Regions from separate parts of the Mus musculus genome. Here region 2 is reported to be linked to region 1. Evidence: microRNA targets listed by miRTarBase, many of them from high-throughput screens and not tested one by one. Region 1 holds a microRNA gene; the other region holds the end of a gene's coding sequence.
Evidence for each region. Region 1 holds the annotated microRNA mmu-miR-455-5p (UAUGUGCCUUUGGACUACAUCG, at 4,326-4,347, shown strand). A microRNA usually pairs through its seed, bases 2 to 8, with sites in the 3' UTR of a target mRNA and lowers its output. Matches are read on the target gene's strand: a 7mer-m8 pairs with bases 2 to 8, a 7mer-A1 pairs with bases 2 to 7 and ends in A, and an 8mer does both.

Region 1 (8,801 bases):
CGACTTCCTATGCATCCAGGATGCTGACGGACACCTGTGTGAGGCTGTGTTTATGTGTCTGTAGAGCAAGTGCGTTAGGGGGCTGGGATGAAGGATCAGCTGGTAGAGTGTCAAGCATGCTAGAGTCCTGGGTTTGACTCCCAGCATCACATAAACCAGCTGTGGTGGTACAGGCCTGTAAGTGAAGGCCTGGGAAGTGAAGGTAGGAGGAGCAGGTGGCCAGTGCCATCCTTGGCTACATGGGGAGTTGGAGGCCGGCCTGGGCTGCATGGGACTCTCTCTTAAAATAAAAGAAGAAAGGAAGGAAGGAAGGATGGATGGAAGGAAGGGAGGGAGGGAGGGAGGGAGGGAGGAAGGGAGGAAAAAAAAGAAGGGGACAGAAAAGAGAAACAAAACAGAAAGAAATGAGGTGGCGTAGGGACTTATGTCAACCATGATCTCCATATGGCCGGCTGTCCAGGGCCTGTGCTGATTGACTTACTATCCCTTGTCATAGACTCTCAGGGGCCCTAGAACTTAGAGTTAGAAGATAACAGAACCTAAGGGGCCTCAGAGTTTCAAATCCCCCGTTAGAGGTCCACAGAAGGTTGACGATCACACACTCAAACATGCACCGTAAGTCAGGGGCAGTGTCTCTCCTAAACAGAGCCCTGGTGTGAGAGGCCTGCCAGGCGGCAGCCTGGTGTCACTGAATGAAGATGAAGAGTCAAGGCTGCCACTGAGCATCTGGGCAGCCTTCTTCTCCTTGGAATAGGAGCAGAGCCAGCAAGGAAAGAGGCTGTGTCTCTAGGTGATATGGTCATGGTACATGAACTGGAGTGGCAGATACCGTGTGTGTTCCAGATCGCCCTTGTCCCTGTTCCTTATGTGACAGACCCTTTGCTCCTGTTCCTGACTGCCTCCAACTTTCTGAACTTCCAAGGCAAGGCTGGGATGTGGACCACTGGGTCATAGTCTCTCACTCCACCCCCATCCTCTGCTCTAACAAAAGATGACTCCAGAGGATTCAGTGAACTCCATCTGGCCTGCATCCATGCAGGAAGTGTGTACCATATCCCTACCATAAAGCCTATTGCCTGATGACAATTCTTCACCCCCACAGGGACACAAGGGCCATCCTGGAGCAGCAGGGCACCCTGGAGAACAGGTGAGGCCTGCCTGCACTGCACTGTACTGCCTGATTTTCCTTCTTCCAGTTCCTGCTTGGTACCAGCCTCCTCCCTGGACTCCCTTCCCTGGAACCCCAGAACAAGGCCTTAGGACTTCCCCTGACCATCACCCCCGCCCTTCCCCAGTCAGCCACGCTCTCTTAGAAGAGCCAGTGTCTGTACTGCGAGCCCAGCCCAGGGCTGGCAGAAGCCCCTGGACTCTGGTTAGAGCCATGAATAGCTGGCCTGTCCCCGGCAATGTTAGGCGATATTATCCCTTCCATTCGCCTTGGGGTTTGCAGGAATTCTGGCCTCCTGGCCCAACTCAAACAGCAGCCCTGCCAGGGAACATCCAGCCAGCCCTCATCTGTGCTTTCTTATTTTGAGCCTGGAGCAGAAAGATTTGTCCCAAGAGCTGGTCTGAACAGTTTCAAGAGAGGTGGGCTTGGGGCCCAGCACACACGGCTTGATGTCTTTCCCCCTTTGCCTCACATTCTTGCCTCCTCCTTGTCCACTGTAGGTACCCTCCCCAACCCCAGGACCCTGACTGAGCTAGAAAGGGCCTCACCTTTCCTAACATTTCTCTTGTTCCTTCGCAGGGGCAGCCAGGACCTGAGGGCAGTCCAGGGGCCAAAGGTTACCCTGGCAGGCAGGTGCAGTATATGCTCTGGAAGCCCTGCCCATGGTGGTGGCCACAGTGCCCCAAGGAGAGGGAGGATGTGGGCTGGGGCCAATAAACTGCCCCTGGGGGCAGACCCTAAGGAAAGGGCTGGCCAGGGACTAGACCTGGCCACAATGCTGCAGGCTCAGAGGTTCTACAGGAGAACTAGGGCTTAGAGAAGGGGTTCCCAAGACTCCTCTCCAGTCTTGCCCTGAGTCACCTCTGGTTCAACCCATACCATGGATGTTTCTAAGGACAGCTGAAGCCCAAGATAAGACTGGCCCTGGGACATTGGCAGCAGGGAGGGCGTCTCCATATGTCCTCGCCCCCCATATTTCTGTTTCAGGGGTTCCCTGGACCTGTAGGAGACCCTGGCCCCAAAGGCAGCAGGGTAAGTGCTTTTTGGCTAGTCCCACCCAGGTGGCACATGCATAGACATCACTGGGCGCTCTATGGGTTGATGGGAGATCAGGGATATGAGAGACTGTGGGCTAGGGCCTGACAACCACTGAACTCCATCTACCTTGAACTGCCAAGGAGGCACTCCACATGGGCTCTCCCAGAAAGGAGACAGCGAAGGTTCTGGGTATGCTGAGTAGGGAGACGGAGGTAGAAGACAATCGACGTGGGTCTCTGTGGGCATGGGTGGCTCTATTGATGATGCATGCCAGGATGCTGCTAAGACTGGACTCCTGAAGTCAGGCCTGCTGCTTCTCAAGAAATGCTCAGCAGCAAGTAGATCACATGGCCGTCAATCTGGGCAGGTCCTCAGTGACATATCCTCTTCCGAGCCAAAGCTATATTATATATATTACATTATATTATATTATATTATATTATAGTATAGTATAGTAGGTTGGGGGGCCAATATGGACCCATTACTGGCCTTAATCTCTGTAGCAGTCTAGCAGTTACGAGGGTGGGCACAACATGGGAAGGCAAGGTCCCTTGGACATTACATGGCATGCAGGGTCAGGGCCACTCTTGTTCTGGGATTCTGGGTCTCTCTCCTGAGGCTCCCATGAGTAGTGGCCTCAGAGGGAATATCTAGAATCTGAAGAGAGCACCCAGAGTCCAAGGCAATCACCTTCCTCTTCTTTCTCTTGTGTGTGAAGGAGTACTACCCACACCAGCCTTGGAGTCTGCATGACTGACTAAGACACCCCAGTCTCTGACTCTGTCACTGACCCCAGATGGTCACTAGGCTTCTCCAAGGACACTCATCTGTGAACACAAGCCATGAATTCTATATGGAAGAGGCAGGGTATAGTGGTTAAGATGGTGGTTGCTGATCAAGCTGGTTACTGAGGTATTTGGGGAAGAAGAGCTGGTACCAGTCTTCCTCAATTGTGTGTTCATGGCGCACTGGTTAGGGGTGTGGGCCTAGGAACCACAGAGCTTGAATTCAGAGACCAGTTCTGCTATGCTACAGCTGTGTGGCCATGGGAAGATCATCTTACCTCTCTGGGCCTAGATGTTCTCAGCTGTAGCGAATTTTAATAACCCCTACCAGGAGCGTTGTAAGGATGCGATAATGTAATCATGTGTCCAGTCCGTAGCTTGTGGGCTGCATTTGTCCTAGGATAGATAGCTATGGATTCAGCCCAACTCAATAAGAAATAATAAACTCAAAACATTCTATAAGATTTTTTGCAATCTACCCGCCCCCCCCCACCCCCACCGCTTTTATAACTTGATTGTGAGATTCTCAAGTGTGAACTTTATAGATGATAACTTTCTCACAGTGTCAAAGTGTGCTCAGTGTGCGTGAAGCATTGAGTCAGGCCTGGCAGGTGGCTTGGCAAGCAGTTGCTTTTGCTGTAGTTATCATTAAACTGCTGCATAGCTTCTATTGGTACAAACCCTGTGCTGGATCCTGGTCCTTGAGAAGTTATCAGAGGACAGGGAGGCAAAGAGAGAAGCCCTGTTATCAGGATACTGAAGGATGCTGGGGGGATGAGCTTGCTCTGATCTGCATGTTTGGTACTAGGAAAGAGAGCCCTTGAGATGGGCTATGTATGTCATGATTCTAACACCATGAGGTAGGCAGGGTAGGCCTGCTTGGGGACTCAGGGGGGACTCAGACTTGGGGACTAAAGACCAGCTACATTCACTCTGGGCCACCCACGTAAAGTGGTGACATGCCTGGGTCCTTAAGTCCATTGGGCCCAGATGACCTTTGAGCTTAACACAAATCAGCTGAATACAAATTGGCATCATCTCTAGCCTCCGGGGTTCTTGCCAGGGTTAACTCAGGATCACCCATGTGCCTGGCACAGAGTCAGCTCTCTGGGGGGGGGGGGCATGCTGACTGGCAGCATTTGTCAACCAGGGTAGATGCAAGCCCCCAGATCCAGGACCTCTGAACTATAGGAGCAACCATTGCAGGGAGCATCCACAAGGCAGGCAGATCTCCCAGCCCTGCAGCATCTAACCTGGGTACGAGCTTCCTTCCACAGGTCGCGAGCTGGGTGCCGGGCCTCTGCCATCCTGTGCTGCCCTCCCTGGTGTGAGCGTATGTGCCTTTGGACTACATCGTGAACGCAGCACCATGCAGTCCACGGGCATATACACTTGCCTCAAGGTCTATGTCATCGAGGACCCCTGGAGCCACCACCACAGAGGACCGGGCCGTGGGATGGCAGCAGGGAGGCTGGGCTGACTGCACCCTATGCTTAACCTCTCTGATCCCCACCTGCTCTTTTCTAGGGTTACATTGGTCTTCCGGGGCTCTTTGGCCTGCCAGGGTCGGATGGAGAGCGGGTAAGTACATTTGTCTGTGTACCGACACCCTCTACTTCTTCTGCGATAGCAGACTGCCTGCTGATGACGTCCATGCTGGGAGTACCTAAGTAGGGTGAGGCCCAGGAAGCAGCATGTGTATACTTCACTGTTATAGCACTGGTGGTCCCGGACAAGGCAGGGGTGCCCCAGGCTTGGTGTTCTAGGTACGCAGGGCAGTGAGGCTAGAGAAGGGACTCAGCAGAGGAGTCTCTAACCAGCCACAGGCATTTATATGTTCTGCAAGGATGGCCAGTTGACTGTTTTGTAAATAAAGTTTTATTGACCGTAGCTCTGCTTATCGATCACGGCTGTTTATGGCTGCTTTCCTGCCACCGTGACAGAGCTGAGTAGCTATGACAGAGGCCACCCACAGAGCGCCAAGTCGTCTCTCTCCTCCCTTTGGCACAGGCATCCACTCATCACTGGCACGGCACTTGGCTGCTTTATAAAGTGTTGTGAGGCTTGTCTCATAGAAGGGTGGGGACAGAGCCAAGTGTCAGATGCCAGGCCAGGGATACCAGGCAGGAACATGGTAGTTTGGTGGCAGCAGAGATGGGGACATCAAGGATGCCTGGCTCAGTCCTGGGTCCTGGGGATGTGTATAGACTGGCTTCAGGACTTCCCAAGATACACTGCCCTCCAGACCAAGTGTCCAAGTCAGGGAAGAGCTGCCCACAGGCCTTTAGGGCTGGCGACTTTAATACATGCTCCTTCCTTCCTCCAAGCCTGTACTTGGAAGTTCAGTTGTAACCCCGTCATTAAGCTAAATACAGGGCATTACAGGGAAGCAGAAGAAGGTACACTTAGTGAGCACCTGCTGAATGCTAGGAGTGCTGGCGGCTTCCTTTAGCACTCTCCCAGTAGGTGATTATGAGTTCCCGAACCCGCATCCATGCAATGAGCATGCAGCTCGCACCATGCTCTGGGCAAGCCTTCCAGACTCCTTGGGACTTTATTCTGGGTGCGGTGGGTGCCCCCTGGAGTTTGATTATGATCTTTCTCCTCTCTCCCCTACAGGGTCTCCCTGGCGTTCCTGGCAAGAGGGGCGAGATGGGTAGGCCGGTAAAGATTTTCCGTGTCTATTACGCAGACTCTACGGGTAGTCCCACCTCCTGCCGGCCGCGTACTGCACTGGTGGTCCCTGAGACCTGGCACTGTCTGCCTCTCAGCTCTGTTTCTCTGCTCTGGGTGTAGGGCAGGGTAACCAGGGGCAATCACTGGCCTGGGATGCTGCCCGGAGTTCTGGCTGCTCCAGGTGGCTCCTCTATCCCTAAATGCTTCAGCAGCTTGCGGGTAAAGCTTTACGTCTGGGGTGTCTGTCCCGATGTTTTTATTAGTGGCCAGCAGGCACTAGGGGACCTAAGTCCTCCCCTGGACAGCACAGGGTCCCCAGTGTCAGGTCTCCCACTCTGACTTCATTTATGCACATGCAAGGCTAGATGACTAGGGAGTATGGTAGGCCTCAAGAGGAATCCCAGAAATGGTTCAGTATTGACCCCCACCCAAATCCACGAGCCCTCTTTAGATCGCTTCAATGCCATAAGGGATTAGTTTTCCTCTTGCCAACCATCTATAGGGCATAAAGAGAAAGACAAGGCCCCAAAAGGTGTCCAAGGCATTGCAGCCCCTGAACAGCTGGAGCAGGGCACATCCAAGACTGACTCTTGGGAATACCAAATGGTACCAATATCATAAAAGTAGGTTTCCTTGACTCTGTTAGGAAAGCCATTGATTCTGTAAGGGGAATCTGAGTCTCTAAGAGATAGACCTCTGGGTGAGGCCTTGTGACTGTCACCAAGACAACTTTCTTCGGGTCCTATCCCAGTTGGTGGCTTAGCTCTTTGCTGCCATCCTGCAGGTCATCTAATCAGACCTACCACTGACTAGGGAATGCAAGCCACTTGACCAGGGTCACACAGAAAATAGGGAGCCAAGTCTGGATCTGAACCTAAGACCATTGATAATGCAGGGCGTTTCCCACAGGGTCTCTTTTCTCCCCATCAACTCCCTTTTCCTCCAGCGAAATCTACAGTTCTCACCCTTGCCTCACCTCTCATGCTAGAAAGGGGGTGTGCAATTTTGGAAGAAGGTCCAAATATAAAATGTTGGCAGTTAGCTAGTGCTGGCAGGACTTCTGGCCCGGCTGGTTCAGGGTTACGCACAGCAGACGGCTGAGCCACATGCTAGCCAGAATCTCTCATTGAGTCTAGAAAGAGGCTATAGTGATTCTTCTTATCTAGTGCGCTCTCTCTCTCTCCCTCTCTGTCTCTGTCTCTCTCTGTCTCTGTCTGTCTGTCTGTCTGTCTCTCTCTCTCTCTCTCTCTGTGTCTCTCTCTTTCTCTCTGTCTCTGTCTGTCTCTCTCTCTGTCTCTCTCTCTTTCTTTCTGTCTCTGTCTCTGCCTCTCTCTGTCTGTCTGTCTCTCTCTCTCTGTGTCTCTCTCTCTCTTTCTCTCTGTCTCTGTCTGTCTCTCTCTCTGTCTCTCTCTCCCTTTCTTTCTGTCTCTGTCTCTCTCTTTCTCTGTCTCTCTCTGTCTGTCTCTCTGTCTCTATCTCTGTCTCTGTCTCTCTCTCTCTCATCAGTGTACTGGGGATTCCTACCCCTACCATGCTGTTTAGGGCCTGGATCTGCCTGTTGTGACCAGGCCTGCACAGAGTCAGGAAGGCAGTCCCAACACTAGATCAGTTGACCCAGGCTTGGCTCTGTCTCCCACTCTGTGACTCAGAGATGCTGAGAGCTTGCCTGAGGACACACAGCTATCTGGTTCAGGTCAGGAATTCCTGCCCTGGGTTTTTCCTAGTCATCAGATAGGGAAGGAGAGAGTATATATCCCCATGTGGGGAAACTGAGGCCCAAAATGATGAGGGGGAGGGTCTGGTTTTTCATTTACATGTGAGCCTCCGGTGTTGGTGGCCTGTGAGTCTCCGTAAGACTTCTGCCTGTCTGTCTCCATCTCTTTCTCCCTTGATAGCATAACTGGAGAGATTTTCTAGTTTCCTTCACAGGGCAGAGTAGTATATGACCTGTATCATGAAACAAGGGATCTGGGAAATTCAGAGGCCTTCCCTATCAGCGTATTTCAAGCACAGTAGAAAGCATGCAAGCTTGACCTGTGGAAGGACTTCCAGAAATTAAATATTTTGTTCTTATAGCTCTCTAAGTTCGGTGGCTCCTCCTGGAGGCTGCTGAATAGTCCCGTGGTGGGTACCACCCCTGACAAGTGATATAATGATAAACATCAGCTTGCCGGAGAATTGTTAATGATGCTTAGCTTGGTCTTGACTAGGGCACAAAGAGGTGGCTGGTTTATAGGCTAGGAGACAGAGCCTGGAAGCTCAGTAGGTCATCTGTTGAATGCTCAGGCTGCGCTGGTCCTGCATCCACCCTCTGTATCAGAGGAGCAGATTCTGGAGGCCCGAGCTTGGCTGAAATGCTTTTAGATGTCTGGGCCTTGGCATGTTGCTGTCCACACCTCTGGCCCTGTGAACTGTTGCCATCCAGAGTGAGGGTGGAGCCTTGCCCTAGTCTATTTTCTTCCGCCCAGCCTGGTTCTGCTCACAGTATAAGGCGAGGCGTTCAGTCCCAGAGGGGCCCAACCTGGGAAAGCGGAGGAGCCACGTAGCACGCCCGGCAGTGAGCCAAGTTCATTCCTTGGGCCATGGGCCAGGCTGCTGCAGTCAGGGGTTGGGGCAACGGAAGAAGGTAGTGCCTGCTGCCATAGGCTAATGTGCAGTCATCACGCATACATCAGGCACAGCCAGTAGGCACTGGATGGCCAGCTGGGCAAGGAATAGAGGCCTTGGGTTGCTGGTAGATGTGGCTGTCTGCTCGGGAGTGGAGTGGTAGAAGCTTTGAATCTCAGTTTCCTACTGGGGCAACAAACTGCTGTTCACTTAAGCTATGGGCTTCCTCCATCTCAGACCACCTTCAATTGTTCCAGCATCTTTAAAGCTTCATTGTTTCCTAACGGTCTTTTTAAAATAAAAGGCCTAGAGTCCTAGAGGTTGCCCGTCAGCAGAAGCAACGCTAGAGATGGAGAAGGAGAGCTGGTCCCCAGGGCCATCATCTATGTCCAGGCGGAACCAGATTTAATATTCATCAGTCTGGAGCCACAATGGCCCTTTGCGATGCTGGACTTCTAATTCTTCTGTTTGTGCTTGATGCCACTACATAAATACCAGGAGAACAGTTCCGGGGCCAGACCACCTGG
Region 2 (8,801 bases), not on the chromosome of region 1:
GGTGAAGGTCAGATCAGGAAGAAGGCCAGGACAGAGGAGCTGCAGACAGAGCAAGAACTGAGAAGAATGCTGTGGCTGGAGTCCAGGACCCAGCCAGACATATGGCAGCCTGCTCTGAGCCTCTGATGTCTTCAGCAGATGGATGCCCATAGCATCCACACCTCCCTAGGAGTCAGGTTACAATGTAACCTTAGAAGTCATCAGGGAGCAGGGGCTTGGCCTCTGCTAGTTCTGCTTTCTCAGAGCAAAGCTACCTCCCTGGGTGATCCCCTAAGGAACTGGGAAGGTGGCTGTCTCAGCTCCCTCACCCTGGGCCGCACCTGCAGGAGCTGAGGGTTTTCCTGACCCAGCTGCTGGAGCAGAGCAGGCAGGAGCGCTGGGTTCTGTTGAATCACTTGCCGCATGTTCTGGAACTGAGGCTGGTCCCGCAGGAACTCCAGGGGGTTCTCCCCTGCTGGTGGCAGGAAGAAGTGTGGTCAGAGCCCTCCCTGCAGGGGCTTCGGAATCCAGACTGCAGATGCCCATGAGGACACCATCCAACCTGCTCACCTGCTTCTGTGGCCGGCTGCTCAGGCGCCTGGCTTTCCTGGACAGAACCATGTTCAGGCTCAGGGCTTCCTGGAATTCCCTGTCAGGGATCCTGCTTTTTAGTTCTTTCAAACAGATCCCCTTCCCCTCTCCCAAGTGAGCAGCCTGACAGGACAGGAAGGTCTCATCCCTGCCCTCCACGTTCTCTGTCCAGCCTCTCTGGGAAGACTTCAATGGCAACACTCAATACACAAAAGCCTATGGGGTAGGCTCCACCTCCACTGCCTGTTGAGGCACGGAGACCTGGAGACTCCCAGGAGGCAGTGATGGCCCCCTCACCGTGAGCAAGTACTCCACAGCTCGGTGGGGGTTGTTGTAGCTGGCCCTCAATGCGGCCACAACCCGCTCCCGCTCGTAGCCCATGGACATGATCTCAGTCAGCATCGTCTCATATTCAGAGCCAGTCACTGTGGAGGGAGCAGCAGGGCCGGGGTCACCAGAGGCACAGGAGGACAGCTCCCAGACCCTCCCAGACCCAGACAAGGCTGTCAAAGGCTGATGGCTGGGGCTTCCAGTCGCCTCTGCCCTGAGGACCACCCACCCACCTAATGTGGAAGCTGCGTCTTCCTCTCGCCCGCTGCTACCTGAAGAGGGAACAGAGCTGCAAATTCAAGAGAGAGAAATCGGACCCTGGCTTCTGGTGGCTTGCCCTCCCCGAAAGTGCCTGGGACCACATAGGTGGGTACTGGAAGGCACAGGAAGACAGAGTGGGTACAGGGTAAGCTACTGCCCTTTCCTTACCCAGAAATGGATTCTGGAGATGTTGTGGTGGTTGACTCCTCTGATGGGCTCTTGTCCTCTCTGCTGGTAGGTGGGGGATGAGACATGCCTGATGCCAGGACTGGAGGGAAAGGTGTGGAGGGCTCCGGGACAGCAGTGGGTGAGGCCTCTGGGGGTGCCGGGATACCCTGGCCAGCTTTGGCCTGTGACAACAAGAAACGAGAATCAGGCAAGCAGCATCCCTATCAAGCCTTGCCACCCTGCCCCATCATGGCCCCACCCTGCCTAAGGCTAATCTCTCCTGGGCATACAAGCTCTTTGCCAGCATCCCAGCTAATCTCCCCACCTTGGTCACCATGACAACCACAAAGTTCTTCTCATCTATATGGTATTCCTTGATGGGAACATCGTCACTCAAGATCTTGCCAGCATAGATGAGTTTCTGTCCAGCCACGGGGAAAGCATCTCTACCCTTCTCAGCTTCTATCTTCTCCTTCAGCACCTTTACCTAGAGTAAGGAGTACAGGTATTAAACACAGAAGTTTAATAGTACAGTGTGCGTGCATTTATAAATAGCACTAACACACCAAGACACCCTCAGTGAAATCCAGGCATAGTTGTGCACACTTATAATCCCAGCACTTAGGAGAGACAAGTGGATCTCTTTAAGTTCCAGGCTAGCCAGGACTATATAGTGAGACCATTTCAAATAGAATACAATGACCATCACGAACCCTTAGGTTCCCTTCTTCTTCCCTTTTGTTTAGAGAAAAAGCTTTGCTTTCAATCCTATGAGATTCCTATTCAATCTATCGAGCTGACAGCAGTCTATTACATGCCAGACACGGGAACTGTTCACCGTGTGTGTATATGTGTGTGTGTGTAATGGTAGTGGTGGTTTGGGGACAGACCCCTAGCTCAGGCCTTGTATATTCAAAAGCTCCATCCCCAACCTGTTTTACAACTTGTTTTACAGAGGCCTGTGGAACAGAACAAACACAAGTCAGTGTTCTCATGAAGAAGACACTGATGTGAGAAGAAAAGCAAACTTGTATTTCCAATGGGATGTGGTTAGGAGGGGAAACAGTAATAAGAAAATGAAACGGTGTATCCATCGCTGGCCTCAAACAGTAACTTTTCTGTACTTACTGAGGTCATCTTTCTTCCCTCCATTTTTGGAACAGGATTTTATTCTGTACTCAACTCCAGGCTTGCCTAAAACATCATAGCCCAGGCTGGCCTAGAACTCCAGGTAATCTCTGCTCAGAGATTATGAACATGACTACCAAGCTTAGACTTCACTGAGGGTACACCAATGGCTTCAACCTATGTTTTGAGAAGGTTTAGGGGAGGTGGCCCAAGACAGCAATATCAGTTACTTGGAGGTTAAGTAAAGAAGGTTCACATGAGCCCAGAAGAACAAGACTAGACTCCACTCTCAAAAAGCAAAACCAAACAAAAGTTCATACAGCATGTTTAGGCTGCTGTTATGTGAAATGGAGAAAAAAAAAAATCTTGTCACTGTCATTATTGGCTGTGACCGTGGCAAAGTTCCTTAACTCCGTGGTTGTCAAAAGGGGAAAGTCAGGAGTCCCCAAACGACAACACTGTTTTGCAGACTCAGCAAGATGACACTAATACTCTGGTAAAGAATAAACTGGTAAAGAATAAACGGCCAACAAAGACGGACCACCAAAACTATTAAGATTAAGACCATTTATTATTATCATCATTGTAGTCACCAGTCGGCACCTCGTTGGCACTGAGGGCAAACTGTGCCACCTGAGCAGCTTGCAGGCTGGGAACGCGGAGCCCGCAGCTGACACGGGAGCCAGACCTGGGAACTCCCAGGGACTGGCCCGGGAACAGCGCCCGAGCCGCCGGGGCAGGGCAGGGCCGATCGGGGGGATCCGAGGAGGTCGGGCTGCTGGGGGAGGGCAGGGCCTGGCCACGGCGTCCTCTCCGCCCCTCCCGTTGGATCCCGGCATCCCTGCCCCCACCCACCCCGGCACCCGGTCGCTCCCGCCCCCGGGCTCCGGCCCGCACCGTCTCGTCAGGTTCCATGCGGATCTTGAAGGTCTGCTGCTGCAACGTTTTAAGGGTGATGGTGACGGCCATGGCGGGGCCGGAGCAATGCGGCAGCCCCGGGATCCTCGTACTACATGCAACTCACGCCGCCGCCATCTTAGCGCCCAGCCGCGCCGCGCCAAGCACTTCCGGGGCAAGTGTGCAGCGCCCGCCGATCGTCAGCGCCGGTGACACCCTCCTCGACCTCTAGAGCATGCGCGGCTGCACCTTACCTTAGACATGCGCAATCTTAGCTTTGTGAGCTTTTGCTGTGTGCACCAGCATTCCGCTGTCTTGGTGACATCATTTCTGCTAACAGTGATGTCATTATACCCACAAAATGGCTCCTAAGGACTTTTAAAGTTTTTAAGGTGTTTGTTGTAGATTTCTGCTCCTAAGTTATTTTTCATACATTCTGCCTATTTCAAGTGACCCAATTTGGATCTGGTCAAAATAAAAGGAATCTTAGCAGAGGACTGCCTAGAAGTTACCATCAATCAATGTAGAGGAGGGCAACTATGTGACCCCATTTTCAAGGACCATCTTAATTTTTGGAATAAATTTACACTTCTAGTTCATGAGTTCCCCACATCTTTGTAATCCTGCAATGACCTACCTATTCATCCAAACATTTTCAAGGTTCTTTTATATTAAATATGTAATTCTCCCCTCCATAAATTTTCCTTACTTACACCAACTCTTAAGGTACCTACATTTTTCGTGGGGGGAAGGGGTAGTATTCATGAAGCTTTAGACCACCCTCACATACCAAAAAGTAATGAAAATGTCAGACTCAGGATAGGGCAGTTCATCAGGGTGATTTAAGGGACTCTCAAACAGAACTAACATCACCATCCTCTTAGATGCTTGCTTTGCCCAGTGTTTCTATCCACACCAATGATCAGGCAATTAACCAAGGCCTGCCTCCCTCCCTTCACTTGAGTCTAGACTCCAGAATTGAAAGCTAGATCACAACTTTCTTGTGAAGAACACAGGCTTCCTCCTGCCCATTCTTCAACCTACTACACTAGAGTATAAAAGGCAGCCTTGAGACTCAACAATGAGTCTCTTCTTTTCCTTGTGGTGGGGATGGAACCCAGGCCATGCTAGCTAAGTGTCCAACTGAACTACATAACCCAATCCTGGAATCTATCTTTATCAGCTCAGTCCTAGAACCATGGGCCCTTGGGGAAAGTAGATCACTGTCCCTGAGCTCAGTCAGTCCCTTTGACTATTATCTACCAGCATGCACCCCACTACTGTGAACTTTGCTCAGCTTTCCTAGGTGTCAGTCCAACAGATCCATCCCACTTTTAACCAAGATGGCTAATATTTGAATTCACTAAATTCTAGTCAGTCTGTCAATGAGGTCTGTGCTAGAATCAAAACTTACACGTCTATGAGTTTAGGATCAAGACCTGATGGCTACTCTCCCATTTAGAGACTATGGGATACATATAAATGACATTTCTGAGACTCTGCAAACTCCAGTAGCTGAAACATACGTCACCCGCACCTGAGAAAGGCTGCTTTTAGCTCCTGATGTACATCCTCCCAGAGAAGGAGACACAATAGGGAAGACACAAAACTTAATTTAATAGAAATTTTGTTTGTAGTTCTTACACTCTCAGTGTGAGCTGTGCTAGAACTGGCTGCCCCACAAGTGGCCCAGTCCTGGGGGCAAGGGAGAAAGGGGATGAGAAGAGCCCCATTCTTCCTCAGTGCGGGGGGAGGGAAAACACCACCCCCTTCTCCTGCCCTCCTCTGAGATGCAGGAAGGAGAGCAGATGAAATCTCAAGCCTAGGGCTTCTCCTCTACACCCCTGTTCCTAGAGTTGGAGGGTAGTGACCAAAAGATGGAGAAAGGGAGGGACAGAAGGAAAAGATGTTGATTCAAAAATGAGAAACCAGATGAGGGCTGAAGGAGAATTAAAGACAAACACCAGTAAAAAAAAAAAGGGGGGGGGGTAATGGGGGAGGCAGGGGAACAAAATCAGAATCTACCCCAGATCTGAACCTGCCTGGAAAAAATGAAAAGTTCTTGAGTCTCATAGAGACATTATTGGGAGCAGCCAGCTCTGCGGCAGGGTGTTCAGGCCTCAGTCCAGCCCTGAAGGCAGGTGGTGTGGCCTCTACAGCTCATCCTTGGCTTGGCCAGGGGATTCTTCCTCATCTTCCTCCTTCTCATCTTCTTCGTCCTCATCTTCATCTCTGTCATCATCATCCTCTTTATCCTCAGCTTCTTCTTCCTCTTTACGCTTCTTGTCCTCTTCTTCTTCCTTAAGCCTCTGCTCCTCATCCTGCTTGTCCTTCATCTGCTTCTCTGCAGCCTGTGAGGACCAACCAACCATATCTTTTAATACCTGGCTCAAATCTGTCTGCCAGTCCTCCCAGATGACCCCTAGAGTAAACAAAGAGCTCTGACCCACCTTGGTAACACCCCACGTCTCATTGCCAAACTCCTCTGCATAGGCCTCATCATTGGTGATGAGGAAATTGTCAAAGATTGTCCCGGACTTGACCTGGGAAAGAACGGAAAGACAGGTGGTCAGCAGTGACTTCTGGCAGTCCTGGCTCTGGACAGGCCTCTATTCCCACCTTTCCTAGTCTTTGAATCCACCAAAATGTGTGGGGCAGCAGGGTGTGGTAGGACATGCCTTAGATCCCAGCTCTGAGAAGACAGACTACTTGTGGAGGTCCAAGCCAACAGGATTATAGTGAGATCATGTCCAAAAGAAAAGTGGGTGGGACAGGCAAGTATGTAAGTTGATGCACTGAGAAGGTAGGCAGAAGTAAAGAATTTTAGGCCAGTCAGTACATACCATACATACATACACCAAGACCAGCCTGCCTGGCTGGGGGTTGCGGGGTGGGGGGAGCTGTGATCCTGGGAGCATTACAGTTTAGAAGCCATGCTTCCAGAACTCACACCCTAATGACCTGGATGGACTACTGGCTTCACTTTCCACACTACTTTCTCTATAAAACAGGCATTCTGGGGCTCTCTTTTTCCAACTCATGCCAAGAACTGGCCTAGACACAAAACATCAACAACAAAAACTCGGTACCAATGTTTCTTAAAATCTTATTTGGTTATGTAGCCAGGGTGGGCAGTGAGCAGAGCTGTAACTGGGTAATCCCAGGTGATTTTGCAGGGGCACTTTGGCAAAAGACTTAGCACATGCCAAGTAGCCCTGCAGAAAAGAGAAAAGTGCTCAGTGGAGGCAGAGATAGCTCAGCAAATGAAGGCACTTGGTTGCCAAGATTTTTTTAATGACCAGAGTTGATTCCAAGGACTCACATAGTGAAGAGAACCAACTTCTCTGATAAGTTTTCCTCTGACCTCTATATAACCATACACATAAAAATGCTTTAACAATAAACCATCTTTCTTGAGTAAGAAAAAGGAGATAAAACAGGAAATGCCTCATTAGGCGGACCATTTCAGAACACCTTAGGGTTGGTGCCTCTGCCTGTTCTTCCCTCCAGATAAACCAGTATGATCCTGACTTGAGGTCTGCCAGGAACCCTTGTCTTTCCTATGTCTCACCTGCCAGAGATCTAGGCCCAGTACAGCAAAACTATCATAGGCATAGATATTTGCATCGGGGGAGTATTCAGGGTTGTCAATTTCTGGGTGTATCCAGGTACCCTTGTAATCTGGGTTGTCAATTTGACGTGGTTTCCACTCGCCCTGTAGAAGAAAACCAGATGAATAGAGAGGCAGACACATCCCACAGTACAGCCAACAACCCCGACTAGGACCCCAAGGCCTATCTTGGTTTGTTTCTGCAGTGCAACATTAATCATAGCACCCAAGGAAACATCCCACCAGGGAGCCACACCCAAACACCCAAGCCTACCTTGTATTCAGGATTTTGAATCACTGGTGGTTCCCACTCTCCATCCATCTCTTCATCCCAGTCCTCAGGCTTCTTAGCATCAGGGTCAGGGATGTGCTCTGGCTTGTCCCAGTCCTAGGAGTACACGTGGAGGTCAAAGTGGACCCAGATGTCCTCCATTCTATGACAGAGGTGGAGCTACCCTCCCAACACTAACCTCAGGCTTGGAATCTGTGGGGTCATCGATCTTGGCTCGTTCATCCCAGTCTTCCGGCTTGGCAGCATCAGGGTCCTTTATCTTCTTGGGTGGCAGAAAGTCCCAATCATCCTCCAAGGAGCCTGACTCCACCTGGCTGTTGTCAATTTTCACCTCATAGGTGTTGTCTGGCCGCACAATCAGTGTGTATAGGTGTGTGAATTCATCATCCTGAAGAGGGAAGGAGGTGAGCAGTCCCTCCCACCAGGCTGCCGGGACCTCCCATGACAGCCATTTAAATGACTACCCCAGGCACACCTTACACCGGATATCCTTGTTGATCAGCACATTCTTGCCCTTGTAGTTAAAGATGACATGAACCTTCTTGGTGCCAGGACCGCAGATGTCCGGACCTATGTAGGAAGCATATGCAGGCTGATGGCAGGCTCTATCCTTTGAGAAAGGGAGACCTAACCTCATCTATTTGTGACTATATACCATGCATACACAGGAGCCTGCAGAGGTCTGAAGTGGGCACGGGAGTCACAGGACACTGTGTGAGTGCTGGGAACTGAGCTTGTGTTCTCTGAAACCACTGAATTCTATCTCCAGCTCTTATTTTATTTTTGACAGAGGAGACTGTTACATTTAACTGAAGCTGCCTTTAAAGTTCTGATCTACTTCAGTGGTCTGAATGCTGGAATTACACATATACACAGCCATCGCTATCCAGAAATAAAAACCTGTTTTGGTTGGGGTTTGTTTGTTTTTTTGAGACAGGTTCTCTATACAAAGTCCTAACTGTTCAGGAACAGTTATACATCTGACTTCAATGCATCCATTAAAGGCATAAAAGACTACAAATCTGAAACGATTACCATTCTGGGGCCAGCAAATGGCTCAGTGGTAAATTAGGTACTTGCCACTAAGCCTGACAATCCAAATTTGATCCTAGAACCCAGATGACAAAAGAGATTTCCAAAGTTGCCCTCTGACCTTCACACTAGCACACCCTTTCATACTTGAGTACAGAAGAAATATGCACATGCTCAGATTTTTCACTGATTTTTAGACCCTGTCATTAGCATCATTTCTAAAATTATTAACACGTAGAAAATATCATACAAATGAACAATATAAGTCTTCAAGTAATATTGTACACCAACTAATAAAGTTGTCCTTCAGGACAAAAATTTTCATCATTCAAGTGCTTTCCATGGTATGAAGATCAGCATTCTGGTTACAAAGGGTTTCAGTCTGCACCCACTGTCCAACCGGCAGAGGTCAGCACTGGCTGGGGGCCCCTCACCAAACATGATGTTATATTCTGAGTCTCCATGCATGTCCTTCTGGTCCAAACCACTCGGAAACAGCTTCACGTAGCCGCC

Region 2: the mRNA of Calr is a reported target of mmu-miR-455-5p. The part of its 3' UTR that is shown has no 7-base or 8-base seed match.

Annotation. Positions count from the first base shown.
Region 1 is chr4:63,252,542-63,261,342 of GRCm38, forward strand. Mir455 (microRNA 455) reads left to right here and starts at 4,310; the gene lies at 4,310-4,391. It overlaps Col27a1 (collagen, type XXVII, alpha 1), which reads left to right. Exons shown (of 61, transcript NM_025685.3): 8 at 1,103-1,147; 9 at 1,748-1,801; 10 at 2,156-2,200; 11 at 4,519-4,572; 12 at 5,611-5,655.
Region 2 is chr8:84,837,140-84,845,940 of GRCm38, forward strand. It overlaps Calr (calreticulin), which reads right to left. Exons shown (of 9, transcript NM_007591.3): 3 at 8,723-8,801; 4 at 7,732-7,826; 5 at 7,435-7,644; 6 at 7,239-7,352; 7 at 6,926-7,069; 8 at 5,805-5,897; 9 at 4,949-5,705. The coding sequence ends at 5,508. Rad23a (RAD23 homolog A, nucleotide excision repair protein) reads right to left here and starts at 3,513. Exons shown (of 9, transcript NM_001297606.2): 1 at 3,355-3,513; 2 at 1,655-1,816; 3 at 1,330-1,511; 4 at 1,134-1,189; 5 at 868-995; 6 at 550-628; 7 at 321-454. The coding sequence starts at 3,426.